Linked DNA regions of Rattus norvegicus. The protein of the gene in region 5 purifies or fractionates together with the protein of the main gene of each other region. This does not show direct contact. Links are inferred from orthologs where the notes say so. Each region holds a gene or a part of one and is shown on either strand. Other genes may lie near its edges. The genes, in order: Inppl1, Ret, Prkcd, Kdr, Shc1, Lrrk1 and Ap2m1.

Region 1 (4,523 bases), on a different chromosome or scaffold from region 5:
AAGCCAGTGCTGTATTCTGCTGATGAGGCCCAAAGTTACAAACCATTAGAGGCTTCCCAGAGGCAGAAGCATCCTCTCCCTGTCCTTTGGTTAAACTGCATTTGTGTTTATTCTGAGTGTGTGCATGGGTGTGTGTGGGCTGCAAGGATGACTTGGCACAGGTGTGGAAGTCAGAGGACAACATGCAGGAGCTCTCTTCTTTCACTATGTGGGTCCCTGGGGTTCCACTCAGTCTTCAGACTTGGCAAAAGCACGACCGGTTAAGCCATCTCACCCCAGTGGTACATTCTTTAGCATCTCTGTTCTCTCAGGAAACTCTAAATATATTGATTTTGGAGGGTTGTGACAGCTTTTCTCCTCGTCTCTCCTTCCCTCTCTCCCTCCCTTCCCCACCTCTCTCTCTCCCTCTCCCTCTCCTTCTCCTCCCTCTCCCTCTCCCTCCCCTCCTTCCCCTCCCTCCCCCTCCCCCTCTCTCTCTCTGCCTTGGACGGTCTGAAATTCTAGAACAAGACCAAGAAAGCTGGCTTACAACTAGGTAGAGTTTCACTTGCTTCTGCCTCCTGAGGGTCCCGAATACAGGCATAGACAAGTAAGACCCCCATTGCACACTCCCGGGATCTGGGGTGATTTCTGGGTTTCCTGTGTCCTCTAGTCCCCGCGGGAGGAGCTGGGTACAGATTGTTATTTTATTTAAGCCCTGGCAGGACCTGGAGAAACAGGTAGGCGGGTCGAGGATCTCTGTTTTTGTATTTATCTGGTCTGGAAGGTCCCGGTAGACTCATCACGTCCAGGCTTTGTTCTAGCTGGGTTAAGCCAATGCAAATTGGCTTATCCTTTAAACGTAGGAAAACTCCTCAGGGCTGACCCCAGGCTCGGTCAACAGGTTCAATTTACCAAAGCGAAAGTTCTCTCCCAGGTTAAAGGGATGCTCCTAACAAGACTCTAGTAGTTGCTGGTTGTAAGAAAGCGGCTAGAGGCCTGCGCCTTTAAGGAGCCAGGGGGCAGAGGGGCGGGGCAGGAAGAGAAATCCTTGGAGACGCCAACACCATCCAGGTCTTTTTTTAGGGGGGAAATGGGGCGGGCCAGAGCCGGCTTGGGATCCGCCCCGTCTTCTCCCGCCGGGTCCCTTTTTCCGCCCCAGGGGTAGGTGGATGGGAGGTCCTAGCAGCCTGGGTGTCGGGAGCTCCCTGCTCGCACCTGGTCCAGCGAAGGCGCAAGTTTGTTGAATTGGAGGGAGTAGCCGGAGCGGGGGCGGTGCTAATAATACCCGTTCAGTCCCCAGTCGCGCTTTACAGTTTACACAGCTGTCACCTTCGTTACTCCTTAATTAATAATAAAAATAGCCGCCGTCCCGGAGCGCACGCTGCGTGCCAGGCCTGGAGCTTTACAGGCAGAGCCCCAAGGAGCCCGCCCTCGTAACGTTACCCCAGTTATCGAAAGCGAGAAGCTCAGGCGAACCGAAGAGCCAAGATTGGCCCGAGGTCACTCTGCGGGCGTGCGGCGGAGACCCGGACGCGGGCAGACGAGGCGGGGCGCAGGGCAACCCCGGCTCCGGGGGGCGGGGCGCAGGCGGGGCGGAAGGCGCGGGGTGCGCGGTGGCGGCGGATGGCCATCTTAAGTGGCCGCGGGGAGTCCAGGGAGGCTTCCCCGGGCTAGGAGTCACCAGAGTCGCCCCAGAGGTGGGGGCCTGCACTCGGCCGCTGAGGCGTTGGGACTTGAGGGAACTTTTTTTCTAGGTAGTCTAGGGGGTCCTCCTAGTCTGGGACTGCAAAACCTGGGCCTGCGGGTGTGGGTGTGGTGCCAGGCAACTTGGAGGAGATGGGGGAAGGGTTCTGCCAGGCTGGAGGGCCTGCGGGGATCGGTGCGTGAAAGGCTTAAAGATACTGGACCTCGTGCGCGCGCGTATGTGTGGGGTGGGGTATCCGATCTTTTTGGAAGGGATCTTATGAGATGTGTCAGGGATCGGTTTTGGGGGTTCAGTTCTGAAGGGGCTCTGATCTTACAGGAGTTGGGAGAACTTGTTCTCTTGGATGATGGGGTAGTAGTTGTGGATGTCTATCCTGGAGCCTTCCTTTGCGAACCGCGATCCCGCAAGTCTGTGGGGGTGCCGAGTAGCAGAAATGTGTAGTAGAATCAGACTTGCATAGGGATTAGGGGTCATCTCCTTGAGAATCGTTTGGAAGGGTTGAATTCACCAGGGAGAACTCGGACTCACAAGTTGTCCCGTAGCGGGTACTGGGGAACTGGATCTAATTGAGGTGGGGGACAAGATAATGTGGAACTTGGGAGGTTCGGGTCCTGGAGGGCTGTCGGAGTTTCGTCCTTGGCGAGAGGCTGGGGGCAGGGGCGGCCCGGGCTCTGGGCCGAGTCGAGGGGGAGGGGACCGGCCAGCTCCTTGCTCCGTTCCCGCCCCTCCCCCGCCGCCTCTGAACAAACTTTTCTTTCTCTTCAAGTTGAGGCCGGCGCTGCTGGCGGCGGCGGCTGCGCGGAGATCGAGGCGGCCGGCGCGGCCAAGCGTGGACCCCGGATACTGGGCTCTCTCAGGCTGGTGGATCCTCAGGCCCGGAACCCGGGCCCAGGCCCAGCCTCCACTCCAAGCTTCCCTGGGCGGATGGCGCGGAGCGGCAGGCATCGGCGGCGCTGAGCCCTACGCGGGCCATGGCCTCAGTGTGTGGGGCACCGAGTCCCGGGGGCGCGCTAGGCAGCCAGGCCCCTGCCTGGTATCACCGTGACCTGAGCCGCGCGGCTGCGGAGGAGCTGCTAGCTCGGGCAGGCCGCGATGGCAGCTTCCTGGTGCGAGACAGCGAGAGCGTGGCGGGGGCCTTCGCACTCTGCGTCCTGTGAGTAGGGCAGGCACACTCAGAGTGTTCCTTGGTTGTGGTGGTAATCCTGGTAGTGGGTTGACTGTAGCTGTGGGGCTGCAGCTCTGTCTCCACCGTGAGTGGAGACCTTGACTTTATCGTTGGGTGGAGGAAGGATACAGGGGAGCACTTCCTGCTGTGTCTGGAGCACTTTCTGAGGCCTGAGGCCAGAGTTCTGAAGCCCAGGGTGGGTGTATGGGAAGACATTAAGGCAGACGGTGGCATACCAGCGTAGACCCCCCCAGTGTCCCAGATGCACAGGGAGAAAAGGATACATGCTCCATGTGAGTGCAGATTGTTTTAAAGCACTGAGTGGTAGGCAGTAGGGAGCAAAGGGACCAGTGTTTGGATGCCGGGGCAATTCTGCGGCTATGATTGTAGGGTGGAGTGGAACAGTGTGTGTTGAGAGGAAGACTTGGGGGAGGCAACAGGGAGAAGCTATGTGGGACAGAACCTTCATGAATCAATGAGCAAGTCTCTTTTGGCTCTGGATTGAGCTCTGCTTATCTGGCCAAGGCTGAGCCTCAAGGTAGACTTGGCCGCTTTCTGAGTGGGCCTGATCCCGTGGCTGTACCTGGCAGCTGTGTGTGGTAGTGGGGTGCTTTCTGTTTTGTAGTGTTCTTTCTGACCTCTGCCCCCTGCCCCACAGTTCAACAGTGTGTGTGTGTGTGGGGGGGGAAGCATCAGGGGCTTCTGTGTTTAGATTTAGTGAAAACACTCTCAAATGACCCATTTCCTCTGTCTTTCCTCCTTTCTTCTGACACCTTTGGGCATGCACTGGCCCAGCCTACAGGGAACAATTTTGATTGTCACTCTTGGGATGGGGCTGTGGGCATTTGGTGGATAGAAGCCAAACCTACTGCTACAGATTTGACGGTACCTAAGACGACAAAGGAATTGGGGGTTCCAAAGGCTAGAAGGGTAGACATTGAGAACTCTGGCCTAGACAGTTGACCTGCTGAGGGAGAGATCCTGTAAACCTCAGCTTCTGCAACAAGTCCAAGACCCACCTAGTGTGGAGAGACTAAAGCCAGACATCTTATGTCCATGAAAATCCCAAGACTCCTGCCTCCTAGCTACCTCTAAACAGATCCCTTAATTAGGGAGGGGACAGGGGCAGGTGCTGGATCAGCTGTCTGCGTGGGAGGGGGACAGCTGAGGCCTCCTCCGGGTAAGGAACTATTGTCCCAGTGAAGAGATCCTGGTTCCATTGTCAGGAGTGTGGGGTTTGTGTGTGTGTGTGTGCGTGCGTGTGTGTGCATGCGTGCGTGTGCGTGTGCGTGTGCGTGTGTGTGTGTGTGTGTGTGTGTGTGTGTGTGTATGTCTTTCTGTATTTATAGGGAGGCAGATTTCAGCTCTTAGGAGCCTGGCAGAAGGGATCAGAAGTAGGTGGTTTTTTAGGTTTCCCAAACACATGCTTACCTATCTACACATTACATGTACACAAAGAACATTTAAGACACACCCCTGCCCTGACAGACAAACTGGCTTCTCCTCTGGTATTAGATACCAGCCAGCCCTACCTTTTAATTGTTCTGTGACCTTGGACAAATCATTTTTTTCCTTTCTGACCCCCAGTTTTCTCATCTGGAGAACGGAAATATTATTGTATATACTATCCAGTGTGAATATAAGCATAACACAGGGTTTGGTTACTGGGAT
Region 2 (3,769 bases), on a different chromosome or scaffold from region 5:
GAACCACTCTGTCCCCTGTCGGTCCCAGCTCTGGTATAGTGGTCCCCAGAGTGAATCTAATTGAGGTGGCACAAGCCCTGCCTCCTCTGCTGGCACTGGTTCCACAGGAGGGACAGGCTTAGAAGACAGGGATCAGGGAAGCTAAATGAGGGACTAGCAGACCTTGTACGAACTCACTCCTGACGGCAGCCAGGATGGCCCCTACCCAGCTCTCCTCCCCCATCCTCCTCCCCAGCCCCATCCCACCCCCTGCCAGCTCCCGAACCTACCTTTACCATCTCCCTGACGCCACTCACATCTGCCAGTTGGAGAACCCAGGCCACCACACTCCTCACACTCAGGTCGCCTCTTGTTTACTGCACAGGACTTGGGGCAGCCCACTTCTTCTGCAATGTCTGGGAGGGACAGACAAGCCAAGGTCACTGGGACTGGTGTGGGCCCAGTCTCCAGACCTCTGAAACGGACAGAGTGTAACAACAGTTCCACTGTCCATGGGTTCTGGGGTAACTAGGGTATTTGTGAAAGGGACTGAGGCACCAGAGCCAGAGGCTCTCATTAGCTCCTGTCTGCTGAGCCCTTCTGGTAAACATAAGGACAGGAGGATATGACGGTGACCACAGCAAAGGACACCTGGTATTGCCGGTTCACACAGAAGTGTTCCCTGTGATTGTCCTTGACATCTCATCCCTCCACGGAGCCTGACACTTACATGTCCCCTCCACTGTGACGACTAACGAAGCCTGGGTCTGCCTGCGGGTCTGCCGGTCAGTGGCTACCACTGTGTACTGAAGCTCGGTACACTCAGGTCGCCGCAGGGCCTCCGTGTCATTTACATATAGGGTCCCTGAGGTGTCTTCTGTTGAGGTGACCACACCTAGGGCACTGCAGTTGGTGCTGGAGGGCTGCAGCTTGTACTGGATGGAGACACCGCTGAACTCCTGGCAGTTCTCCACGCAAACTTTCCCAATCTGGAGGGGGGAGAGGGAGGAGGAGGTTCGAACCAGTACACCTTAGCTGGATGGGCTCTTGGGTAGACCAAGTTGGGGGATGGCCCTCAACTTAGCTTGAATGGTAGTCTTCCTCGATGTCCAGTGTTCTACACCTCAGCACCTACAAGCCCACCTGCCTGGTCAGCCCTGCTTAAGGACACCAACTCGCCAGACACCCACACCACTGGGAGTCAGCCGGGATGGCCATAATCCCTGTTGTGTGTCCCCCAACCGTCAGAGCACTGTACCCTAGCTGAGTGACTGCAATGTTGTCATCTGTCCCACTTGAGGTCAAGCGGCCTCTTCAGAGGTTCTGGAAAGAGACCCCTTCTGGGGATGCCTGGCTGAGTCAGGTCCTGAGTCTTTACCTCACAGCCACTCCAGTGAGCTACGGTTGCTAAAAGCTGCAGAGGTAGTTCTGGTTATGGGGCCCTGTGTCTGTGTGTAGTGACCTAGGAGGCAGCTTCTTAAGAGCCAGGAGCAAGGATGGGGCTTCCCGAGCCACACTGACACCCTAAAAAACCAGCCTCCTGGTTGCTTCATTTTCCCCTACAAAGAATGTTCATTTCCATCTTCTTAACAGATCCTTAAAACTATCCGAGGTCCCTGGCCTCGACTTGCTCTTCAAAACTATGGAGACAATAAGGAACCGGTCACTATGAGGGCAGTGACTGGGGCTCTAGAATCTGCTAAATGCAGGGATCTACCTCCAACTGATGCCTTGAACTCCTCCTCAGGCACTTCACTCTGTCACCCCCACTCCTGCCCTGATGGTCACACCCTGGAGAAGGGCCAAAGGCTCTCTCTATCTACAGGTGTGTCCTTTGTGTGCTGGTAATGGGAGCAGTGAGGACCTGGAACCGGCTGTAAGAATTGGAACGACCACAGACACACGAGGAGACAATGCCAAACACACACCCTAAAGCCGAATCAGTTAAACCAGACACACGCGAACCACAAATGAACTGAATGCAACAGACACCGTGAGCGCATGAGAACCACCAAGTTAGAACTGCAGCAAATGCTCTCACTGGTGGTCAAGGGGTAGGGGGCACCCCCAATTCCTCATGATTTTAATTAACGCCATGACTTACCTTCCACTCTTCGTATTTTCATTTAGTTTAGCAGTGCTGAGGATAGAACCTAGTGCTTGCTAGGATGGAGACACACACACACACACACACACACACACACACACACACACACAGAGAACTACGACTCTGGTCTTCTACTTTTCCATTTCAATTATCATTTTCCAAAGACAAATCCGAACATTACCTCATGATTTCTCTAGCACATAAACTTCTAAAAGCAGGTGTAACCTCTGCCCTTTCCCACAAGGCACTACTGCCAGCCACAGTCTGCTGTACGCTAAAGTTACCCCCAACTGAAAGGTAGTTTGTGCTGGTGGAGACACCAGAGAGAGCAGTAGTCCCTCCAACCACTTTTTGCACTGAACCGTACAGCAGGAACACCTTTCTAATTAGGCATACACAGGGTTACATGGAAATGCATTTCTATTAGGGCAAAAAATGTTTTAAAGATACCAAGAAGTGAACCAGTAAAATCAGAAGGCTTGCTCCAGGCACTGATGAGGGGCTAGGAGCCCTCTAGGGTGAAAAGGTATAAACAGAGGTTCAAGGATACACTTTGGAGCCTACTATGGACCTACCTATGCTAACTCTGCACGGGTGGGCTAGTGAAGAGGTGCCACTCGCCCATACCCCTGCCTGTTGTCTTGGAAGCCCCTAATCTCAAGTCATGCAATGGGCCATGGGCTCACCTGGGCATAACGGCGGGCTCTCCTATTCACTGGGAAGGAGTAGGCCATGGGTAGGTTCAGGGTGACAGGCAGCACAGACACGTTGAAATGGAGGAAGAGAACACCTGACCCAGGCCCCTGGAAGTCTGAGTCATTGACCAGGACTACTAGCTGCAGGACTCGGCTCTCTGAGATGGACAGGCTCCTGTTGAGAACCAGCTCTGTAGGTGGGCGCACAAGGAGACGAAACAAGTTACTATCCTTCAGGACCATGCCCTATGCCACATACTACACATCCATACCAACATACAACCCTGCACACACATGTGTGTGTGTGTAAAATTAGCATGTTAAATGGGTTTGTGTATAAGGTATTTGGATAGTGTTTGTATACACAGACTGTATAGCCTGGAATGGTTGTGCTCAGTGGGACATATTTTGGTGTGTATGGAACGTATGTGACTTTCATGTGGTGTGTGTGTTTGTGTGTGTGTGTGTGTGTTTGTGTGTGTGTGTGTGTGTGTGTGCGCGCATGCACGCATGTGTGTGCGTATGTAGTATGGGGTGTATCAATTGTCCTGTAGTTCTAAGAAGACATCACACTGTCGGCTCCTTACTGTAATTGTGCATGGTTGCCCGCACGGAGTTGTTGTTGGACTGGACCAAGGTCTCGTTGGGTGTGTGCTCCACCCGGAAGGTCTGCTGGGCCCAGGAATCCCCTGAGAGTAGTGTGCTTGTGTACCGCCTCACCAGCTCCCCAGATGCTGGCACCACATCTGCATCAAACACCTGCAGAGTGGCTACCACAGTGCCCTGCAGGTAGCAGAGAGCACCAGTCAGCCCAGGTACAGTCAGAGGACCACATGACCTAGCACAGCCCAGAACTATACCAAGTACGCTTTGTTAGAACCAATCCTAGGGGGAGATGATCAGAAGCGAATGTTTGTCCCCAGAGCCTCAGGTGAGAGTTGTGAGCAAAGCCACAGGGCCGCTGGAATCACTCTAAGGTTGTCTGATA
Region 3 (3,599 bases), on a different chromosome or scaffold from region 5:
AAAAAACCAAAACAACAAAAAGATGTGCAATTATAGCTGTCACCTCTTTGCCTTGTACCCATTTCTCAGATGAGGATTTTGAGGCTTAAAACAATCAAGGGCATGATTTTGAGGTTTGAGTCCTATGCCTAAAATCTTTGTCTTTTTTTCTTCATCTCCCTGCCTAATCTAGGGCCAGACTCTAAGTCTTTTCTGAATTATTTTTAAGACAGGGTTTCTTATAGCCCAGGCTGGCCTCAACACTTTCTGTGTGGTTGAGAATGAACCTAAACTCCTAATCCTCCTGCTAGCACCTCCCATACGTCAGGTTTACAAATGTCAGGTTTATACCCTGCTGGGATGGGGCCTCCCGCGTGCACTCGAGGCAGATGCTCAACCAACAGAACTACATCCCTCACGCGTGCATGCGTGTGATGGCGCTGGAAATGGGACCGAGTTTTACGCACACTAAGCAAACACTAGTATTGGGACACACGCACAGCCGTGTGCCCTGCTCCGACTTTCAGGCCTGGCTTTCTGCCTCTCTGAATTCTGGGCTGGCCCTCTCTACCCAGAGACAGGTTACAACCAGTCTCACCTCTACCATGACCCCGCGGTGACATCTGTGGTTCCTGCAGTCCCGGGGCCCTGGAGCAAAAGAACCCCCTAAACACAAACACATTTGCATGAAGACCCAGGGGTACGCCACTGCAGTCGACAGTGGCAGGAGCACCTGCCACCAACTTCCTGGGACATAAATGTCCCCACAGTCAGGTTGGTACCATTCAGTGTTTATTTATACACACATAAACAATCCTGTGGTTCAGGTAGCTTGTGCTCTCTTTTTCTTTTGGTCATATATACATACATACATACATACATACATACATACATACATACATACATATATGTATACGTGTGTAGATGTATACATACACACGTATACATATGGTTTTTTTTAAAAAAAGGTCAACACATCACCAGTCTCCTACATGCTTTCTATACTGAGCAATATATACAGCCTATTATATATATGTGCATATATATAATATATATTTCAATAACTACATTCAAGTAATGACACACAGGATTTACAGTTTCCCTCCGATGGCAAAAGGAAGGCAAATTCACAAACAGTTCACAGAGGAAGTACTGTGAGCCCAGCCAACAGGAGCCAGACTCTCCGAGGAAGAGGGGGCAGCAGCAGGAATCACCAGTCACCCACTCTTCTTCATGGGCAGTGCGGATGCAAACCAGGGCAGATGGGCCTACTCTGCCGGGGCATTAAAAGCAGGTCTGGGAGCTCACTATTCCAGGAATTGCTCATATTTGGGGTTCACAAAGGAGAAGCCCTTGAAGGCTGTCTGGTCCATAGAGTCGATGAGGTTCTTGTCACTGAAGGAAAGTTGGGGTTTCTCATTCAGGAACTCTGGGTCAAAGTTGCTGTAGTCTGAAGGGGATTTCTGTGAGCAAAAAGTAGCAGGGGGTCAGAGTGTCTCCAATGTCTGCCTTCAAAGGCATGCCAGGTACCCAGGCTTCTGGACCCTTGTCGTGCTAGCCAGGGCAGTCGACTCAACGGGGAAAGAGGATGTCACCAGCAACCCAAGGACAGTCCCATCACAGGGGAACGCTGTTTCCCCAAGAGATGAGGAAGGGAGGCAGGGTGCACTGGGTAAGTAAGGACAGGGACATCCTCCAGAACAGGGTCAGTGAACTACAGCCTGCAGGCCACACATCTCCTATCTGCTCTCAGTGGAGGCCTATGAGCTAAGAATAGCTTTTTTTTAGAATAGCTAAGAATTTGCTATTTTTGGTTGGTTGGTTTTAGTTTTGGTATTTTTGAAACAAGGTCTCATTATATAGCCCAGGCTGCCTACAAATTCATGATCTTCCTGCCTCACCCTCTCAGACACTAGAACCACTGAGCACCGCCACTCATAGTCCAGCTCTACAATTTGAAATGGATGGGAGAAGAAAAGACTATCCAGTGGCATATGAAAATGAAGTCAAATGCAAATGTCTGTGCCCACAAATCAAGCTTTATGACTACACAGCCGCACTCATCTGCTGAACAAGGAGTGGGGCTGCACTGAGAGAGGGGCCTGCAAACTAAATATTTATTCTCAGGCTGTTTATAAGAAAAGTTCCTAATTCACTGCCCCTGAGGACTGCATAAGATGGTAACGGGCTTCCGGTGAACTCTGGGCCACACTGAGCTGGAAGGTACAAGCACTTGAGCTAGCATTTGGGCTAGCACCTGAGCTAGCATTTGGGCTAGCATGCTTTGTCTGGTAAACTGTTAGGAATTGGATCAGGAGGCCTGGTGTTAAGCTCCACAGTGGAACTACATGTCTCGCCCTCAGTGCTGGGGTCCATAGGCTCTAAAGCAATATTGTTTAACACAGAACTTCAGATTTCTGGCTTCTTTTGAGAACTGGTGGATTAGGGGAGAAAGAGCACGTCCTTCTTTCTTCTTACCATACATCAGAGTCCCAGAGAGAATCGCTACTACTCCATTTGCAGAAAAACAGGCTCAGAGACATCAGGCCTCACTCTATGGCCAGAGATTTGATAGGTGAAACATTGGAATCTGGTTTTTGTTCTTGTTTTTGCTCTTTCAAGATGGTTTCAGGCAACTGAGTCTGGCCCTGAACCCCGGCTCTTCCTGTCTCTCCCTCCCAAGGCCTGGGGTCACAGCTATGTCCTACCATGCCTGGTTCTGGTCTTTGACTTTGACGGACACCGACCTGTCACTGAGCTACACCACACCCCCTGGGCTCACTTCCTGTCAGGCCAGCTCTTAGGGCTGAGAGCCCACTGCCCTGCTCACATACCTGCCCTGCCCCCAGGGGCAGAGGCCGCTCATCCCCACACACACCTAGCGTGTGGAGGAAGAAACCTCTTAGAGCAAGAGCCATGCGCTGCTCTTAAAGCTGGGCCAGCTTATCCCCCTGGTCAGGGAGCCTCTGACTGTGAGACCCACATCGGGAAGGGCTCTGCTGTCTCAAAGCACAAATGTGGGGCATGCTACAGAGATGGCCCAGTGGGAACAGTATGTACCAACAGAGGACAGAAAGCAAGTGAGAGAAAAGGCAGCCAGAGGAGGAACTATGACCACAAAGGGGACACTGTGCCCTAACTTATTTTTAAAAGCCAGGATGCTGCTGTGACGCCTGGTCTTGAAGTTGAGACCGGCCTGTCTCCACTGAGCATCTGATCACAGAGCTCTGAGCAGGTTCCTGCTTCCCAGTGACATCATCTCCCAATCTCAACCAGTCCCGTGGCTGCTGAGGATGAGGCCCCGATACATACAAACAGCTCGCTACCTGGATGCTTTCTACCTGACAGCTGAGCCCTACTCCCATATATCAGTTCTTTCGAAGCATCCTCACAGACCACTCTGGTCCCTGCAATCCTGGTTCCTATTGCTCTTCTCTCCCGGAAGCAACCCACACTGTGTGCCCTGTGACATCTCCCATATTGCTGCCCTCCATCACAAGTGTCACCAGTGTGCCGGCATCTTGCTGGGGTCATCAGGATTTAGGACTTCTTCTCACCCTGCTAAAGCCAAGCACAGTGCTCTGCACCCAACAAGGACTCGGCACGTCCTTTGTGATTGA
Region 4 (4,554 bases), on a different chromosome or scaffold from region 5:
CGGGAACAAATATGAGGCCACTAATGCAGTATGAGCAAACAGCCAAGGCAAACACCCGGTGCCGTGACACTGTGGCCCTCTGAGAACAAGCAGAGCAGGCCGTTCACTGACTGTAGCGGTTCTCGCACACCTGCACAGATGTGCATAACGGTCTACAGCAATTCCACCCTGAATACACCCAACCTAACCGGATGTACATATGCTGCTGATATAACCGTGGATTTATTCATTAATTAACATTTTTCAAACGCTGGAAATTAAATGGCATTTAATGAATCTCAGAAGTTAGTTGGCATTGTTAATAACTCGTGTGTGGACTGTGAGTCTGAACCTCATGGTGTGTTTATTCCTAGACCAACAAATAGGGGTTTTTAAATGGCATCGAAAGTGACTGTATCACAGGTGCTCTTGGTCCCCCCCACCCCGAGACGGCTACAGAACTGAGCAATTATATTCAATTAACCGGCATAATATTTGTCCATATCAAAGAAGTTACTGTCCCTAACATAGGCATGCAATTAAAATGTTCATAGACAAGCCTTTGAATGATGGAATCTTACTTTGTTTGAGAAGTGGGAGATAAAAACAATTTGTTTGATAAGTAGATTTTAAACATGACTGAGCAGCATTAACCTGAAGACAATCACTGGCTACACTCATGGGGTGAACCCATTATTCAGGCAGATGGGTGAGGAAAATGTGGTAGTAAGCTGCGCCCACTCTACCACCACAGTAAGTGACCTTTATTCTTCAGTGGGGAAGCGAATGCAGAGCCTGAGCGCTCTACCGCTGATCAACACGCTACAGCCACTCAGAGCCGCGCTACTGTCTCTGTCATAACACACAGCCATAGATGCTCTTAGAGGGCAGGCGCATTAGCTCTGCTCATCTGTAAAAGATGCCCCATTCCCGAGACACCAAATACAGCACCATAGTATCCAAGGGATGTGTCTGCAATCAAATCTAGTCAACGAGGTTATCGATAACTGGAGATTTACATCAATGGCTAATGATCCCTCTCCCCCTTATTAAACCTCATTCATTTTCAATGGCAAGTTTGGGTTCTGTTCTTTAGAAAGCTCCTTCTTACTGTAAGAGGTACATATGCTGCTACTCAATAAAAGCCCTTTTATGTTCAAATCCGATAACCAACATTAATTAATTTGTGCACTGTTATCCTTCCCACTCAAAGACCAGAAGGAAAAACAACAGCGGCTCTGTCTCTAGACTCCGATGGCACCAATTATGGTCCAATCCAATTAAGAAAGTCACACACTCCAAAAGGGCAACCTCCGTTTAATTCAGGGAACCAACCAACGGGCTACTGTTAAACTGCTACACTAGGAACACTCCAGGCTTCACAGCAACTCACTTCGCTATGGGACCCAGGGCAAGCACGTGTTCTAGGCTGCCTTTCTCGTCCCAGAAAGCGGGAGAGTGAGGCCTTGTCAGGAACAAATGGGCACCCATGATGGAGTTAGCCTGGTGAACCAAGTCATTATGAGGAAGATTCAATAACTGTAGACAGATGATCCTGGCGCTGTACGTCAGCGCCAGTGCTTTTAAGGCATGCGATTTTCTTCGGATATAAGGAATGTTTCTGCAGAATTGACTTTTTTTTTTTTCTGACTCTCCATTCTCCAATGGATGGAGTCTGGGAAATCTGCAAACTGTGGCTACAAAAAGAAAATGAGAGAGAAATAGAGGAGGAAGAGGATGAGGAGGAGAAGAGGGGAAGGAAAGGAGGGAAGAGAAGGGAAGGGGTTGCACAAAAGCCCAAGAGCGAGTGAGAGCCTAACCTTGAAACACAGGGCATCTTTAAACAGTAAAAATGGCCTATATCTAGGTGCCAAACTAAAGAGTTTCTGAAACTTTCAGAAACTCAGAGTTTACCCCAGGACCAAACACTTTGGAGTAGTAAGTGGAGAGTTACTTTAAGATACCTGGAAAAGCTACCATAGAAGAAGCCGCTTCCTCCTGCCAGCAAAGTGGCATTCTGCACCAAAGAAAGTTGGGTAGGAAAGTGTTGCTCTGTGAAGAGCGCACATAGTGAGCTTACCCGCTGGAGCTAAAGCAGAGCGGAGCGGGAGGCTGGTTCCCTGCTCCACTCAGGGCAGCAAGCAACAGCCTGCGTGCTCGATGCCAGTCAGGCCGCCCGGCTTGCACTGGCTTCCCGGCATTTGACTGCCTGTTCCTGCCAGTGGGAGCATCTCCTGCCCCGGCGCAGGGCGCCTTCCCACTCCCGCCTACCCAGCGCCAGGGGTTGTGGGCTCCGCAGGACACGCTCCAGCCAGAGCCCGGGGGAGATTAGAATCCTGGCTGAGTCATTTCGGAAGAGTCTTTGAACCTCAGTTTCCCGGTTGGTAAGTGAAAGAACACCAAAGGACGGGTCTCTAGAGCTCTCCGAGTTAGGTCCTCTTCTCTGTTATCCCCACTCTCCGCCCGCACCCTGCTCCACCTTACTTCTAAAGAGTGGGCTCCTTACCCACAGAGGCGGCTCGGGTCTCCACGCAGAACCACAGAGCGACAGCTAGCAGCGCCCTGCTCTCCATCCTGCACCTCGCGCTGGGCACAGATGCTTTCTCGGTCCCTGGCCGGCAAAGAAGTCACAGAAGCGGTACGCGCTCCTGCAGTGCAAAACCTGGGAAAGCGCAGGGCACCGGCGCCCTGGCTCCAGCCGCAGCTGCAGCAGTGTCGGCGGACACGGGTCAGCCAGGTTATCCCGGCTGCAGGACACAATCTGGGCTTTCAGTCGTGCGGAGTAGCGTTCCGGGCGATCTAAGGAGACACAGCCTACTCTCTTGGGGTCCTGAGGACTCAGTGCAGAGAGCCAGCGCTGGCTAAACACTAGAGAATGGGGGCGGGGTCATTACCGGGAGGGGTGGGGACTCCCTGCGTCCGGCCACGCCCCTCGCTGGATACCAGGTTTGGGTTTCCCGGTTTCCCACGCCCACTCCCCCACTACCCCGGAACTGTGCCGGGCTGCAAGTCCCATCCGAGAGCAAATCTGGACGCAGCTCGGATTCTGGTGGAAGTAAAATGTAGCCAATAAGGGGCTCTGAGACACTTGCTGCCCCCCAGCAACCCGGGAAGCATCACCAGAAACGCAAGACCGGCTGCGCCCTCATTAGGTGCCTCCAAGTGCAGAACTCTCTTCCCTGCTGCAGCTGAGAGCCCCAAGGGACCAAACCTCCGCTTGCAGGTTGGAGCATGAAGATAGGAACCCTGGACCTAGATGTATCTGGGGCACCAACTTTCAGTGAGTTGGTCAGTACTTGGAAGTTTTGTTTAATGGTGCTCTGGCCAGTGCAGCCATAGTTTTAACTCCCCCGCCCCCCGCCCCTGCCCCCCGCCCCCTTTGAACGCTTTAATTAAAAGATAGGCTCTTATCCAGGTTGCCAATGCCCCTACTGTTTTCTCGTCCATCTGGCAACTTTAGATCTTTTGAAGTTACCTGCCTAGCCCTAGAAGACATTTCGGTTGTGAACTCCTGCCTGGCTTTGTCCAGATAACTGCAGCAGGAGATCCAGGTTGCTGAGGGTGATCAGGGCTCCAGGGCAGCTGCACAGAGAAGAGCGCCTATCCTCCTCCAGTGGCTGCTAGAGTGCTTTCGTCTACCCAGCTCCATGGCCATGGTTCCCTACAGAAACTTTGGCCAGGTTCCTTTCCAAAGCTGACCTTTCAGCCAAGATAGGCTTGGGGGGAGAGAAGGGAGCATTTTCAGGGGTGTCAACTGTGGGAGCAGAAGCGAAAGCGGTCCCTGCGTGAACAGTTTTTTTCAACTGTGTGGCTTTCTTTCCATTCCTTCCACGCCTAGGAAATGACAATAAATACCTTGTAACAACTTTTACTCCTGGCATTTATAATGATAGTTTAAAGGACAGTCTTTCAGCCGGACAAAGGGATAAGATTATTGTCTTTACATCCAACCGAAACTACACCGATGTGCGCCATTAATGAAACACGATGCTTTTCTTTTTTAAAGAAGGGAGATAAACAGTGATTCTCCTTCATCACGAACCTGCCTGAGCCTGAAGTGTGGTGCCAGACGCAGCTGTCGAGCCCAGGAGGCTTTTCAAAATCCAGGTTCACTATAAAAATGTTTCAACACATTTACACATATACACCTATAAGGTGAAATTAAGCTTGAAAAAATATGGGAATGTTTTGTGTGGGCATTTTCCTTTTAGTGGGGACATGCACAGTCTATGCACGTTTCGGTGTGTATACTGGGCTCCTCTTCTCAGGAATGAAAACTCCATTTAAAAGTTGTTTGGCGTCTTCTTTCCCTTTACGGTGTACATGGACAACATTCTGAAGGTTCTGCCTGGTTCTTCTTATCCGCGTTCCACTGTGTAGGTGTACTCTTATCTAAGAGGTATTTATTTGTGAACAGGGTAGACCACTTAAGGAAACTTCTCTTGGGTAGAGTAAAACAAACTAAAACAAACCTCAGAAAAAGAACCAGGGAGGGCTGTCAGATTTGGGTAAAGGGAGGGAAGATGGATTCTGTCTTGGAGAAGGTAGAGTTTTCTCCATCCCAGTGGCCAAACA
Region 5 (4,509 bases):
TTTGGCAACATAGGCAACGTACTCAGCTGTGTCCTGGGGAGGGCAGATCCAGGAGGCCAGTTAGCTAGAGTTTACCTCCTGACCCACTAACTCTGTCCTTTTTACATATTTCACAATCCTTGTGCACCACTTCTTTAGCCAGTATTTTCTCCCTCCCTCTTTTGGTTTTTCAAGAAGGATTACTCTGCATGGCCCTGGCTATCCTGCCTCTTGAGTGCTGGGATTCTTGTGTGGCCACCACTCCCAGCCTCTAGCCAGCATCATTTCAGCCCCTAGTTTCTTCTTCCCCACCCGTCTTTTCTCTGTTCCCCAACTCACCGGATCCCCACCAGACGCGAATGAGATAGATTGCATGTGATGGTTGGCAATGATCTGATGAGGGCAGGGTGGAGAAGGAAGGAATGGTAAAGGTCAGGCAGCCTCAGGGCTCCACGTGAACCCACCCCAGCATAGAACCTTGGAGCCCCGGGATCATTCTCTTGGCCTTTTACCCTGCATTCTCCTAATTTCTTTCTTCTTTTGGTGGGGTGAGGCACAAGGTCTCACTATGTAGCCCTGACTAGAACTCAGATTCCTCTGCCTTGGCCTCCTGGGTGCTAGGATAAAAGGTATCACTATACTCAACCTTCCTAACTTCTTCCTCTTCTACTCTCCAGTTCTTCCTGAAGACTGCAAGTTTTTGGCCTCCAATCCCCACTTGATGCTCCCATAACTAACTATCCCTGGTTCCTTCGAGCAGCCTACCCACCTGTTTGCAGTCTGCTGCCATGAGGTTAAGGCTGCTGGTAGACACAGTGAGAGTGATCGGCATTCCAGCAAACTTCAGGTTACTCCTTCCCAGGATAGAGCTGAGTGGGCGGCTGCAGGGCTAGGAAGGGCCCAGAGTCTCAGAATCTGAGTTTTCCCAGCATAAGGAAATACTCACCTTCTCCCGACACGCCCTGCACATGCCTTCCCCTGCCTCCAATCACCCAGCCCCAACACCAACCACACATACCTTTCTCCTCCTCATCGCCCCTTTGGCACCAGGCACAGCTTCACACACCAAACTGATAGCCTCCCTGGAGAAACAGGAGTACTCAGACCCACCATGGGCCTCCCCCTGGCTAGGGCTGCCACAGAGCTGGGGGAAGGGAAGACCAGGCCAGATTCCCAGAGCACTCCAGGCTCTTTGTCGTGGTGGATTGAATTAAGGGCCTTTAATATTTGATGACACTGAGGGGCCGCTTCCTGGCTGATTGGGTTAGGGCCTCAATGGCTGCAGCTCCACCTCTTCCCAGCTCCCGAATGTTCCATCTCCTTCCCTAAAGCATCAGCAACCTCCTACCCCTGCTGCCTTTTCTAGTCCATCTTCCCACAGTCTCCAAGGCTGGATAGTTAGGTGAGGTGGTGCTCCACACCAGAGCTGGCTCCTTCCAGTCAGAACTACTTCTGTAACTTTCAGTTCTCTGACCACCCACGAGAAATCGCCATCAGCACCACCACCAAATGCCCAACTTCCTCCTCTCCCTGGCTGAGATTTCTGTAACTTCAATCCCCACTAACCTGGTGACCTGAGTCCGGGTATTGAAGTCAAGGGCTCGCATTGACTGTAAGACCTCCACGCAACCCATGTACTGTAGGGGAAGGAGGGAAGAATGGATCAGCTGTCCCCATCCCCCACCCCACACTTGCCAGCCCTTTGCAGAAGGTTCTAGGGCTTTGCCTTATCCCTAAGGAAAGTAAAGGTGAAGTAGCTTTCCTACTGCCTGGGGCTACCACCCCATAGGTGTACTGTGAAGGGGAAAGGGGAAAGAGGAAAGAAAGACCGCAAAGAGGAACTTCATGCACCACAGAGACATTATGAGAGGAGTAGCAGGTATTGGGTAGGATGGAGTGACATCTCTGGAAAAAGGAGGAGTCTAAAGGGAAGAATCAAGAAGTCATTTTCATTCAACTTTTACCAAAAGCCTCTGATGTGCTTGAGCATTGTGTAAACTGGGGAGTGGGGACCAAAGGAGGAAAGGCAGAAGATTCGCAGGCTAAATTAAGGGCAGAGAACTGGAGAAGGAATGCACCAGGTTTAAGAACTAAGAGAATGGCACAGATGTTCCAGGGGGAAGAGCAGGAAGTCCCGACAAATCTGGAGGAACTGGAAGGGGTATGGGGAGAGTAGAAAAGGGGATATGCACTCACCCGAACCAAGTAGGAAACCCCAGGTCCCATGACTTTGTCGTTGGGATGCAGCCAGCCTCGTGTGGGCTTATTGACAAAGCTCCCGTGTCTGGTCCACTCCTCGCCCCCCAGCTGGCCCCCTTCTACCCGAGTCCTGCGCCCGCCGCCTCCACTCAGCTTGTTCATGTCCTGGAGGAGGGGCAAGAGGCCTGAGTCCCGAAGGGCTGCTCCTGCACTCCCTTCCCCATCTTCTGCAGCTTTTCCTGGCTCCCCTTTAGGTCCCAGGCGCCCCCCAGCAGGATTGGCCAGCTTCAAGTTGCTCATCCGGGGAAAGAAGGAACACAGGGTAGTCGGGCTATCGTCCCCCGGCAGAGGAGGCAGAATGGGTCCCAGGGATGAGGCTGATGGGGAAGGCAGCTCCTCCGGTGGAGTAGACCCTGAAGCCCCCTCCTCCAGCGATGACAGAGACTCATTCCGAAGTGGGTTGTACTTCGGCTTGGGGGGTAGAAGATCCATGGCTGGGGTGAGAAGGGGGGCTGCTGCCCGGCCCGGCCCCCCTGCCAATTCAGGCAAGGGGGCCAGGCAGGGGGCATCCCCAGACCCTTAGCCTAGTCTGACCTCGGCAGCCGGGTGATAACAGAGGACCTGGGGAGGCGAAGGACAAGTGACCTCTGCTCTCCCAACTCAGACCTAGACAGTTTCAAACCACATCCTGGCCCAGCCCAGCTAGGAAACCTCGTCTGGCTGAGGAGTACAGGCTGGACCCAGAGCTGACTGGCTCCTCCCCAGGGGCGGGGAACTAAGGAGAGAAACCAATCCCCAGGACAGTGCTGACTCACAGGCTCAGAGGGGTTGAGACACCTCCCCACATAATTTGTGTTAGCCAGGCCACTCTCCCCAGCCCAATACAAACAACTAGTGATCTGTCTGGGAAGGAGGAGGTGCCGGGCAAGAAAGAAAGGAAGAATAAGCAAAAGAGAAAAAAGAAAGGAAGGAGTTAAGGAAAACTCTGGACCAATCCAAACAGACCTGGGCAAGCCAAAGAGAGCAGGAAGACCGGGAAGACTGGGAGGGATAGGAAGGAAACAGAAGCTGCTGGGCGGGGAGTGGGGGGAGGGAAGTTGTCCCTCAGAGTTTAGCATTTCCTTTCCAGACCCGGCTGAAGACGTGAATCCCTCACCCCCTAGCCCAGACCACCCCCACCCCCACCATACAGTGAGTGAGGTGGTAGCTCCAGGGAACCTGGGCCATTAGCATCCACCCCAACAGCTGAGGACCAGAGTTGAGAACCAGGAAGGGAAGTAGTCCCAGTGGATGTACTGCGAGGCCCAGAGGAAAGACAAAGCTGAAATAGGAATAAAGGCTAATTCGGGTGGTGCATCTGGGAGCTACCAGACAAGAGCTAGAGCAAGGCTGTTTCTACAAGTCACCAAGGACCAACAGACTTGGGGGTGGGGGTGCTCTTCCAGAGGCCTAGTGAGGAAAGCCCCCAGAGGATATAGAGATCTGGCCACCCCTTAGACCTACAGATATACTTTTACGCCTTATAGGCTACACACCCCACCAGACAGTGTACTTCACACTAGTAGAGGAGTTGGCCTTGGAGGTAGGAGAAAGAAACACACAGAACTGGTGCCTACAAGCCACAAAGGGATAATAGGGCCATAAACAAATCTGTGTTAATAAAGACAGGAAGGAGAAAGGGATATCAGAAGCTGGAATCTGGCCATAAGTGCATAATAATACCAAACCCCTATTTCTTTGCCCACAGTTTCCTGCCACAGCTCTGCTGAAGGCCATTCAGGAAGTTAAAGAAAGTGACCAATCAAAATAGCTCCGGATTAAACTATAGCTTTATTCACTTTTTAAAAAGTAACCAAACACAAGAAGTAAAAGGTACTTTTTTGTTTGTCTGGTTTTTCAAGACAGGGTTCGTTTGTGTAACTACATTGACTGCCCTAGAACTTGCTTTGTAGCTCAGGCTGGCCTCAAACTTACAGAGAATCACCTGCCTCTGTCTCCTAAGTAGTAGCACTTAAAGCAGGTTAAATATCATGCTTCATTCGTTCACCTGTCCTTAGTCCCCATCCCAGAAAAGCTGTTACTGAACACCACGCCTCTTCCTTAAAAGAAATTCTGTCATTCCGTTTGCTAAGACCTCAGCTCTTAGGCACAAGAGGAAAAAAAAATCTGCCATAGCCTTACACTCCCAATCACACAAACACACATCATGCTGTTATCTTGGGAGATGGCTTTCTGTGGTAGCTTTCATATCCAAAGGTCAGGAATGATCAACAGATGCGCACATGTGGAAGAAAGAGTAAGCACAAGCCTTTAAATTTACTTAGAGATTGC
Region 6 (4,407 bases), on a different chromosome or scaffold from region 5:
TTCAAGTTATTTTAGCCCCACTTCTGACTGTAAATGAATTCTTCTTAATATAAATGTTAGCAGTGAATTAATCCAGCAGCTGCTTTTCCTTACCTTATACCAATAATCACACAGGAAAACCAATATTTATTGAAAACTGTGCCTCAGTAGATGAGCAGTAAATGCTCTATCTTTACTTTCTATGCTAGTGTGGCTCCCTCCCAGCCCCACCCCATGATACTTGGATATTATTATTGATCTGGCTCTTTGGGCCCCTTTTCCATGGCTCCAATTCCTCCAGTCACTCACTGCTCTGAGTCTCCCTCTCTCCCTCCTTCCCTCCCCCTCTCTCCCTTCTGCCTCTCTCTCTCCCCACCTTCCTCCCTCCCCACCTTCCTCCCTCCTCCCTCCCTCCTTCTCTACCTCCCTCTCTCCCTCTCTCCCTCTCTCCCCCCCCTCTCTCCCCCTCTCCCTCTCTCCTTCCTCTGGCTGGTGGACATCCTGTCCTGCCCTGTTCTCTCTTCTGCCCAGCCATTGGGTGATCAGCATTTATTGACAAGGCAGAGACTAATTGGTAAGAATTGTTTACATAAACTTGAAACAGGAGATTCTTGGTATAAGCATTATAATACTGTGTCCAGATTAAAACAAGATATGAGGGCAGAGAAATCAGCATTGGAATGACAATGGGTGACCTTTACACCGTGCACAAAAACACTATGCCTTCATTTGACCTTTACTCACTATGAGCCTATAACACCCCCTCCCCCAAGTTGTGACAACCCAAAATATCTCTAGATATGGTCAAATGTCCCCTCAGAGAGAGGCAATGTTTACAGGATTCATTTGATGTCACAACCAGTAACAACTCCTTCTAGACTCCTTTTCTTTGGGGCCATTATCTGGCTGTCACTTGGAGCAACCATAGGTATCAGTCCTGAGCAAGGGATGGCCTTGCACCGTGAGCAGCCGTGCGCCCACCCTACCCCACCTGAAGTGTTAATCCTCCCAACGGGAGCCTCAATTTTGCTGTTTGGGCGGCATCAGGGTCCCATACAGGGCCTGGCAGAGACAGTGCAAGAGACAGCGGTTAAGTGTGGAGTGAACGACAAATGGGCACAGCCAGTGAAGCTCAGTGACAGCTTTTAGTTTGTTTTCATAGAGACAAGATCTGGGCCCAGTGTCAAGGTGGGATGGGAGGGGTCATTGTCCTTTCAGACATGTGGACTATGGAGAAATGTGCAGAGAAGGGGGGAAGCCAATGACAGTGGGGAACACCTACAAGGGCTTGCAAGAGAGGACGAGTCTGAAAGCCTTCTAACTCGATGTCTTTCTCCACCAGGACGAGCGTGTGTGTCTGCGGCACCATGAGCAGGTGTCCGTGCCTTAACCCATCTGCACAGTGGCAGTTGTGGTGACAACAGCAACACTTTCCTTTGGAGATCTGCTGCCTGGAGGGTTGATGGCTGCCGTGTCACAGCGACCACCCAGTATGTACTGGTGTGTGGGGACAGAAGGATCAGTTGTGTGTCCAGGGCCTGCCATGGAGACCCATAATGGTAAGTGGTACGTCCACAGGGACTGTGCTGTGCTTGGTCTATAAGGAGCTTAGGCTCCCTAAGAACAGGTATTTTCAACCAAAGAAAATAAAATTAGGATTATTTGGTGCTTTTTCTATATCTTGGGATTCTCACTTAAATTCCTAAAACTGAGAGGTCATGTACAAAATTTATTATGCTTTCAGAGATTTTAACATCATATAAGTTAAGGGATTTTTTTTTAAAAAACCGAGGATTCCTTTTTGTTTTTACACTATAAAAATGCTTGCTTACCAGAGAAAAACTGAGAAGAGAAAAAGAGAAGTTATAAAAAAGAGGTTCACCTAGTATCTCCCTGCGCCAACAGCATCACAGGCGGTGATGTGCCTGCTCCTTTAGTCTGTTTCTCTGTGGTTAAGGACTTGAGTTTCACACTACAGCAGTGGTTCTCAACCATCCTCAAGTTTCAACCCTTTAATACAGTTCCTCATGCTGTGATGACCCCCCGACCATGAAATTACTTTTGTTGCTGCTTCGTAACTGTAATTTTGCTACTGTTATGAATTGTGATGTGAAAATCTGTTTCCCGATAGCCTTAGGTGACCCCTGTATAGAATAAAACATGCTTCAAGATGGCCAAATTCTTGATACTGGCATGAATGGTTTTGAAGAAAAAGGCTCACACTTTAACTGAACACATAGTTTAAACTCCAGGGTTCTTTGGAAATGGTATCTTACGCCTTGCATTCATGGGTGTCCTGCGTTTTTGCACAGCCCCTACCTAGCTTGACTTGTATGTGTTTAGGATGGTTTCACAGCTCATAGATTTGCAAGCACAGAGCAAACTGCGGCATCACCATGAGTCTCATGAGGATGTCAGAGGGGGGCTCTGAGAAGGTGGAGGAGCCATCTTAGAGAGACTCGTGCATTTCAGATGATTGGCAGGAGGAGCAGGCAGCCAGCCCTTACCTCTGCTAGGCCAGAGCTGCTAGAATCTAGAACGAGACAAATTCCTTTGCCAAACATGACACGTTCTTTTCTATGCCCAGACCAGCTAGAGTGGAAAAACCTGCTCTACCAGTTAAGGTGAGGCACCCGGAGAAAGTACATCAGCTAGGAAACTTCCAGATAATTCAGCCTTTCCTACACAGCTGAAGGTATGGGGAGGTGCTGGAAGAGACCCATCTTTGTGTGAGGGTCCTGCCCTTGTCCCTGAAAGATGTGAAACAGCTACCTACCTCTTAAAGCACCGTTAACTGCCAGCCCAGCATGAACCAAAGAAGATGGAACATCCCAGAGGGGCTTCAAATCCCAGGTTGTTACATGAGTGTTTGAGATCTCTTCCTCCTCCCCCTCCTCCTCCTCTTCCTCCCCCTCCTCCTCCTCTTCCTCCCCCTCCTCCTCCTCTTCCTCCCCTCCTCCTCCTCTTCCTCCCCCTCCTCCTCCTCTTCCTCCCCTCCTCCTCCTCTTCCTCCCCCTCCTCCTCCTCTTCCTCCCCTCCTCCTCTTCCTCCCCCTCCTCCTCCTCTTCCTCCCCCTCCTCCTCTTCCTCCCCTCCTCCTCTTCTTCCTCCCCTCCTCCTCTTCTTCTTCCTCCCCCTCCTCCTCTTCTTCCCCCTCCTCCTCTTCTTCCTCCCCCTCCTCCTCCTCTTCCTCCCTCTCCTCCTCCTCTTCTTCTTCCTCCCCCTCCTCTTCTTCTTCCCCCTCCTCCTCCTCTTCCTTCCCCTCCTCCTCCTTTTCCTCCCCCTCCTCCTCCTCTTCCTCCCCCTCCTCCTCTTCTTCCCCCTCCTCCTCTTCTTCCTTCCCCTCCTCCTCCTCTTCCTCCCTCTCCTCCTCCTCTTCTTCTTCCTCCCCCTCCTCCTCTTCTTCCTCCCTCCCCTCCTCCTCTTCCTCCCTCTCCTCCTCCTCCTCTTCTTCCTCCCCCCTCCTCCTCTTCCTCCCTCTCCTCCTCCTCTTCTTCTTCTTCCTCCTCCTCCTCCTCTTCCTCCCTCTCCACCTCCTCTTCTTCCTCCCCCTCCTCCTCTTCTTCCTCCCCCTCCTCCTCTTCCTCTTCCCCACCTCTCCCTTCTTCTTCTTCTTCTTCTCTTCCTCCTCCTCCTTTGGCTTTTAAAAATACACATTAATTATCTGTCATGGTACTATAACCACATCGTTTGCCCAAGTGGGGACTCATCATGCCTTCCAGGAAATAGATTGTAATAGGAAATGCCTCTAACCTGTTAGCCTGTATGCTTCGATCTGTGTGCAGTTGCACTTGCTGGGATGTGTGGGGTGCATGTACTAGACAGGTGAGTGGGGCCACCCTCTCCAACCAGAGTACAGGGGCACCCTGAACCTCTACCGGAAGCAGTCGGGGGTCAGGTGGGTGGTGTCTTACTAAGTGAGCTGGTAGGTAGTCTGCTGGGTCACGGTCAATTCATGCAGGTGGCTAGAGCTACACTTCATTCCTACAAAGCAGAGCTGGCTATGTGACCCTGGGCTAAGTGAGACTTGTAACATTTACCTTAATCTGAGATCGGGGCCTCACTTCGGGCAATAGGGAACTGACTAGCAAGCCAATGATTTGAGGTTTTCCTAGGAAGTGGATGCTCTGGATTCTATCCTGCTGTTAACTAGTTCTGCCCAGTAGGGCAACTCAAATCCCTTCAGTCCTTCCTTTGGGAACTAAATGCCCCCGCTGCTAAAAGCCAAAACCTGGCTCTCCCTGCTGATTCCTTCTTAGGCCAAGTCTTCCAGGTGCAGTCCTCATAACACATTCTGCTCCCACAGTGCTTAACCTCCTTCTCACCTCAGGCTGTCTGTGGACCAATCCTTAGCCTGTGGCTTCCTGGGTGCAAGGAAAGAACAGCTCCCACCCCTGCCTGTGTGTGGGCTAAGGAGGGTTCCTACAGG
Region 7 (3,414 bases), on a different chromosome or scaffold from region 5:
GAGAACTTTGTTGCTGGGGACCAAACAAAGGAGCTTGCTCTCCAAGGACAGAGACGGTCTTACTATCGATGCCAAGACTAACCAGACAAGGAGGACTTGGGGAGACAGTTAGCAACTCCAGCAGAAATGAACTCCAAAGGGAAGCTGGAGTCCACTAGGCCTCACTGGACTCTCAAAGGCTCGCCCATCTTTGTGTCCCTTGACCTCCCAGCCTCAGGTACCTCTTGCTTGTTTCATCGGCTGTGCCTTTGCCCTGCTTTTCTATGACAATCTTGTCATTCATTCCAAACTTGCACTCAGGCATGCCGCTCAGGTAACTCTTCATCACCACCCGGCCCGACACATGGGCACTCAGCACCTGCCCTGGTGACAGAACAGAGAACAGGGAGCAGCTGAGCCACCCGGCAGGCCAGGACTCACCCTCACCCCCTCCCCAACCCCCCCCCGCCCCCCGTCTCCTCACACACACCGGTTTCGTCATGAGAAGACACTCACCCTGTGGGGACATAAGCAGGTTCACACTCTCCAGAACATCTAGGAAGAGTTCATTCCGACGATACTTGATGCCTTCCCGCCTCCAGCCAATTTGCCCGGTCACCTGGCTGGTGATCTGGGACTGCTCTTCTTTTGTCTAAATGAGGTAAAGGTGGCCGATGACCTCACCACCCCCCTCCCATGACCCTCTCCCCAGGGTCTCACATCAGCCTCCCTCCTGTTCATCACTCTGTAACTCGGCAAGGTCTACAGAACGAGTGAAGCTGCAATGAGAAACACGAGGAACAGCTTACCTGATGCTAGAGACCGCAGAGCCAGCAAGGTGCAACAGGAAGCAGCGTGGTGAGGAAGCAAAGGGAGAGAGCTATGAGGCTTGAGTCTGAGGAGAAAGCCCATGTGCTCTTCTGAGGAACACAAGGCCTGCAGAGCAGCCACACCCACACCCTCCACGGAGAAGAAACCAACTGAGCTGTATTCCTCGTAATAGAGGTGCTGAGCTGGCAGCTTCTGGGGCAGGAGAGCTATCCAGAGCAAAAGAGGCCTGCAGTCATGGTAGGAGGCTGAGGCTAGCACTTCCTGTCAAGGGCAAGCTCATGAGTCAGCTAGAATGAGGCTGGGCATCATAGGAAAGAAAGGAGTTTGAGGCCCACCCTACTTCTGTTCTATACAATTAATTTAAGTACCTGACTCTTGATACCCTGTTGGGTGATGAAGGTTTTCAGTGCACCTGTCTCTGAGTTCTGTGGGTAGCCAAAGTCCAGAATCTCTGTAAAAAGAAGGGAATTATAGCCTAGCAGTGTGGTATAGTCCTTTAATCCTCACACTCAGGAGGCAGAGGCAGGTGGCTGAGTTCAATCAAGACTGGCCAGGTCTACAGAGCCAGTTCCAATACCACAGGGCTACACAGAGAAACCCTGTTTCAATAACAAAAAGAAGGGAACTACTAGCTTCTGGAGAAATCGAAGGCTCCTTCATTCCAATCCTTCCTCTGGCCTGGATATGCCTGTGGAGCACAGATCCTGGGGCTGTGCAGAATTGTCTATATCTACAGCAAGGTTTTCTAGCTTCCAGCATTCAGCATGATTTGTTCTTCATGAGAAAATATGTTTTTCATATGTAAAAAAAATTCATAGAAGAGTCACATGGTCAGTGGGTAAGAGGATAAAAAAAACCCTGAGCCCTCCTTTTCTCCAGAAAACAGATGGTGATAAAAGGGAAGTAGTTACAGATGCTACAAGAGAAAAGAGCACAGCCAAGGGACTATCTAGGACTTCCTCTCCAGGCCCTGGAGGAGTGGAGATGAGAGCTGGCTCTGTCTGTGAAGATGGTTGCTCAGCCACCAAATCTCACTCAGTCAGGTTCTTAGCCCAGCGAAGGCCAAAGTCTCCTCCCCGCACCCGCTGGCCTATTTTTGAGTTCTACTCTAAAACAATCTTTAGGAATGGATTCAGACTGGCTGCATCAGGGACACAGAGCTCATCACCTAAGAGGTCACAGACTCAAGCAATAAAGTTCGGAGTGTGCTGCGAGCTCTAGATTGCTCCCTTTTGGGTCAGTCCCCACCGCGGCCATCGGTCCCCAAACACCTCACCGTCCAGCAGCTCGTATATGAGCACGAAATTGTTCTTGATGTTCTCCTCGCTGATCTTGCCAAAGTAAGCAGCCATTACATCACACATCTTGTAGAGGAATTCGAAGACCATGGCGGCATTGACATTCTGCTTGGTGACTGCTGCCAGCCAGATGTTGGACCGCTTAACATGGAAGAAGCTGGTGCGAGCGATGTTTGTGACAGGGCTGCGCACCTGCTGCCGTGCGTGAATGACATTGACGCGAAAGGCATCCACTGCATTCCTCCTACGGGAAGAGACGCAGAGGCGGTCAGCACTTAGGCAGACCTCACCCCATGAGGATCACCTGCAGCTGCTGGCGGCCTCCCCTCCACGTCACCGAAACCTGACCTCTCTACAGGCTTCCCTCTGATACCCCAGCAGGGTCAGGAAGGTTCTGCACTGGCCTGCTCCTGAAGGGGGAGTCAAATGGTAACTATGGAAGGGTGCGTATAGTGTTAATAAACTGAGCCCTAGCCCTGTCTTTACTTCCCCAGATACACCCAAGATGTCCCCTCTCTGCTTTCCAGAAGTTCCAGGCCCTGAAGAGAAGGAGATCTCTACTGGGCCCACCAGTGGGAAAAGCCAACTCCTCTGGTAGTTGGACAAACTTGTATGACCTCAAGAAGACTCTGCTCTAAAGGGGAAGAGGGGCTGTGGACTATGCCACCCACCTCTTCTCTAAGGTCTGATTCCTGAAGTTTAGGGAATAAAAAATGATGAAGGAAAACAATTGGAGGGGGGAGGACCCCCAACCCACTTGTACCTGAGCGGCAGCTTCACAGGCTGCTTACCTATTGCTACATCAGCCAATGAGATGGGATGAGAGAAATGACGTCAGCGAGAGGAGAGTGACAGCAAGGAGAGAGAGGGTTAGACGACACACAACACACCACGGTGGGCAGCACAGAGCATGAGGGAGAGGCGGACAAGACAGGCAACAGGTAGAGAGCACACTAAGGCATGCGGGGTGTCATGTGGCCCAGCGGTGGCATAAACCAGGACCATCCAGGGTGGGAGGAGCAGGAAGGGATGGACCAGCCAGGTTTACTTAGGCTAGGCACTGCCACAAAATCTAGGTCAGCTTTACCACCAAAAAAAAAAAAAAAAATAAAATAAAAAAAAAAAAAAAATATATATATATATGGATACAGCCACACCAAGCTAGCCCATCAGCCAGGGAGGCAAGAAGGTAGGAGAGCTATCAGAAGTCTCTATTTATCTCAAGGGTTTTTTTTTTGGGGGGGGGGGATAACCAAGGTAGGAAGAACCAGAGGAGCCTAACCTCAGGTTATACAGTGGAGGAGGC

The links.
Region 1: the proteins of Shc1 (region 5) and Inppl1 purify together in Homo sapiens (affinity purification with western blotting; 4 studies listed by BioGRID and IntAct, with this or other methods). This does not show direct contact. The link is inferred for Rattus norvegicus from reciprocal best matches to the Homo sapiens genes SHC1 and INPPL1.
Region 2: the proteins of Shc1 (region 5) and Ret purify together in Homo sapiens (affinity purification with western blotting; 4 studies listed by BioGRID and IntAct, with this or other methods). This does not show direct contact. The link is inferred for Rattus norvegicus from reciprocal best matches to the Homo sapiens genes SHC1 and RET.
Region 3: the proteins of Shc1 (region 5) and Prkcd purify together in Homo sapiens (affinity purification with mass spectrometry; 3 studies listed by BioGRID and IntAct, with this or other methods). This does not show direct contact. The link is inferred for Rattus norvegicus from reciprocal best matches to the Homo sapiens genes SHC1 and PRKCD.
Region 4: the proteins of Shc1 (region 5) and Kdr purify together in Homo sapiens (affinity purification with western blotting; 3 studies listed by BioGRID and IntAct, with this or other methods). This does not show direct contact. The link is inferred for Rattus norvegicus from reciprocal best matches to the Homo sapiens genes SHC1 and KDR.
Region 6: the proteins of Shc1 (region 5) and Lrrk1 purify together in Homo sapiens (affinity purification with mass spectrometry; 3 studies listed by BioGRID and IntAct, with this or other methods). This does not show direct contact. The link is inferred for Rattus norvegicus from reciprocal best matches to the Homo sapiens genes SHC1 and LRRK1.
Region 7: the proteins of Shc1 (region 5) and Ap2m1 purify together in Homo sapiens (affinity purification with mass spectrometry; 3 studies listed by BioGRID and IntAct, with this or other methods). This does not show direct contact. The link is inferred for Rattus norvegicus from reciprocal best matches to the Homo sapiens genes SHC1 and AP2M1.

What each region holds. Positions count from the first base shown.
Region 1 is NC_086019.1:165,606,578-165,611,100, reverse strand, and holds the start of Inppl1 (phosphatidylinositol 3,4,5-trisphosphate 5-phosphatase 2), read left to right. Parts: upstream 1-1,652; 5' UTR 1,653-1,679; intron 1,680-2,215; coding exon of another isoform or gene 2,216-2,632; 5' UTR 2,633-2,658; coding exon 2,659-2,840; intron 2,841-4,523. Other genes in the region: uncharacterized protein LOC103691225, read right to left, coding at 1,449-1,652, 2,216-2,632. UniProt on the Homo sapiens protein: Phosphatidylinositol (PtdIns) phosphatase that specifically hydrolyzes the 5-phosphate of phosphatidylinositol-3,4,5-trisphosphate (PtdIns(3,4,5)P3) to produce PtdIns(3,4)P2, thereby negatively regulating the PI3K (phosphoinositide 3-kinase) pathways.
Region 2 is NC_086022.1:153,019,826-153,023,594, forward strand, and holds part of Ret (proto-oncogene tyrosine-protein kinase receptor Ret isoform a precursor), read right to left. Parts: intron 3,565-3,769; coding exon 3,369-3,564; intron 2,973-3,368; coding exon 2,773-2,972; intron 969-2,772; coding exon 710-968; intron 396-709; coding exon 270-395; intron 1-269. UniProt on the Homo sapiens protein: Receptor tyrosine-protein kinase involved in numerous cellular mechanisms including cell proliferation, neuronal navigation, cell migration, and cell differentiation in response to glia cell line-derived growth family factors (GDNF, NRTN, ARTN, PSPN and GDF15).
Region 3 is NC_086034.1:5,774,932-5,778,530, forward strand, and holds the end of Prkcd (protein kinase C delta type), read right to left. Parts: intron 1,443-3,599; coding exon 1,287-1,442; 3' UTR 750-1,286; downstream 1-749.
Region 4 is NC_086032.1:32,570,314-32,574,867, reverse strand, and holds the start of Kdr (vascular endothelial growth factor receptor 2 precursor), read right to left. Parts: upstream 2,806-4,554; 5' UTR 2,553-2,805; coding exon 2,486-2,552; intron 1-2,485. UniProt on the Homo sapiens protein: Tyrosine-protein kinase that acts as a cell-surface receptor for VEGFA, VEGFC and VEGFD. Plays an essential role in the regulation of angiogenesis, vascular development, vascular permeability, and embryonic hematopoiesis.
Region 5 is NC_086020.1:177,136,917-177,141,425, reverse strand, and holds the start of Shc1 (SHC-transforming protein 1), read right to left. Parts: upstream 2,879-4,509; 5' UTR 2,671-2,878; coding exon 2,176-2,670; intron 1,617-2,175; coding exon 1,546-1,616; intron 1,062-1,545; coding exon 998-1,061; intron 869-997; coding exon 749-868; intron 373-748; coding exon 319-372; intron 34-318; coding exon 1-33. UniProt on the Homo sapiens protein: Signaling adapter that couples activated growth factor receptors to signaling pathways. Participates in a signaling cascade initiated by activated KIT and KITLG/SCF.
Region 6 is NC_086019.1:129,380,165-129,384,571, reverse strand, and holds the start of Lrrk1 (leucine-rich repeat serine/threonine-protein kinase 1), read left to right. Parts: upstream 1-1,441; coding exon 1,442-1,538; intron 1,539-4,407.
Region 7 is NC_086029.1:93,862,137-93,865,550, forward strand, and holds part of Ap2m1 (AP-2 complex subunit mu), read right to left. Parts: intron 2,353-3,414; coding exon 2,087-2,352; intron 1,262-2,086; coding exon 1,179-1,261; intron 809-1,178; exon of another isoform or gene 795-808; coding exon 789-794; intron 632-788; coding exon 496-631; intron 364-495; coding exon 222-363; intron 1-221.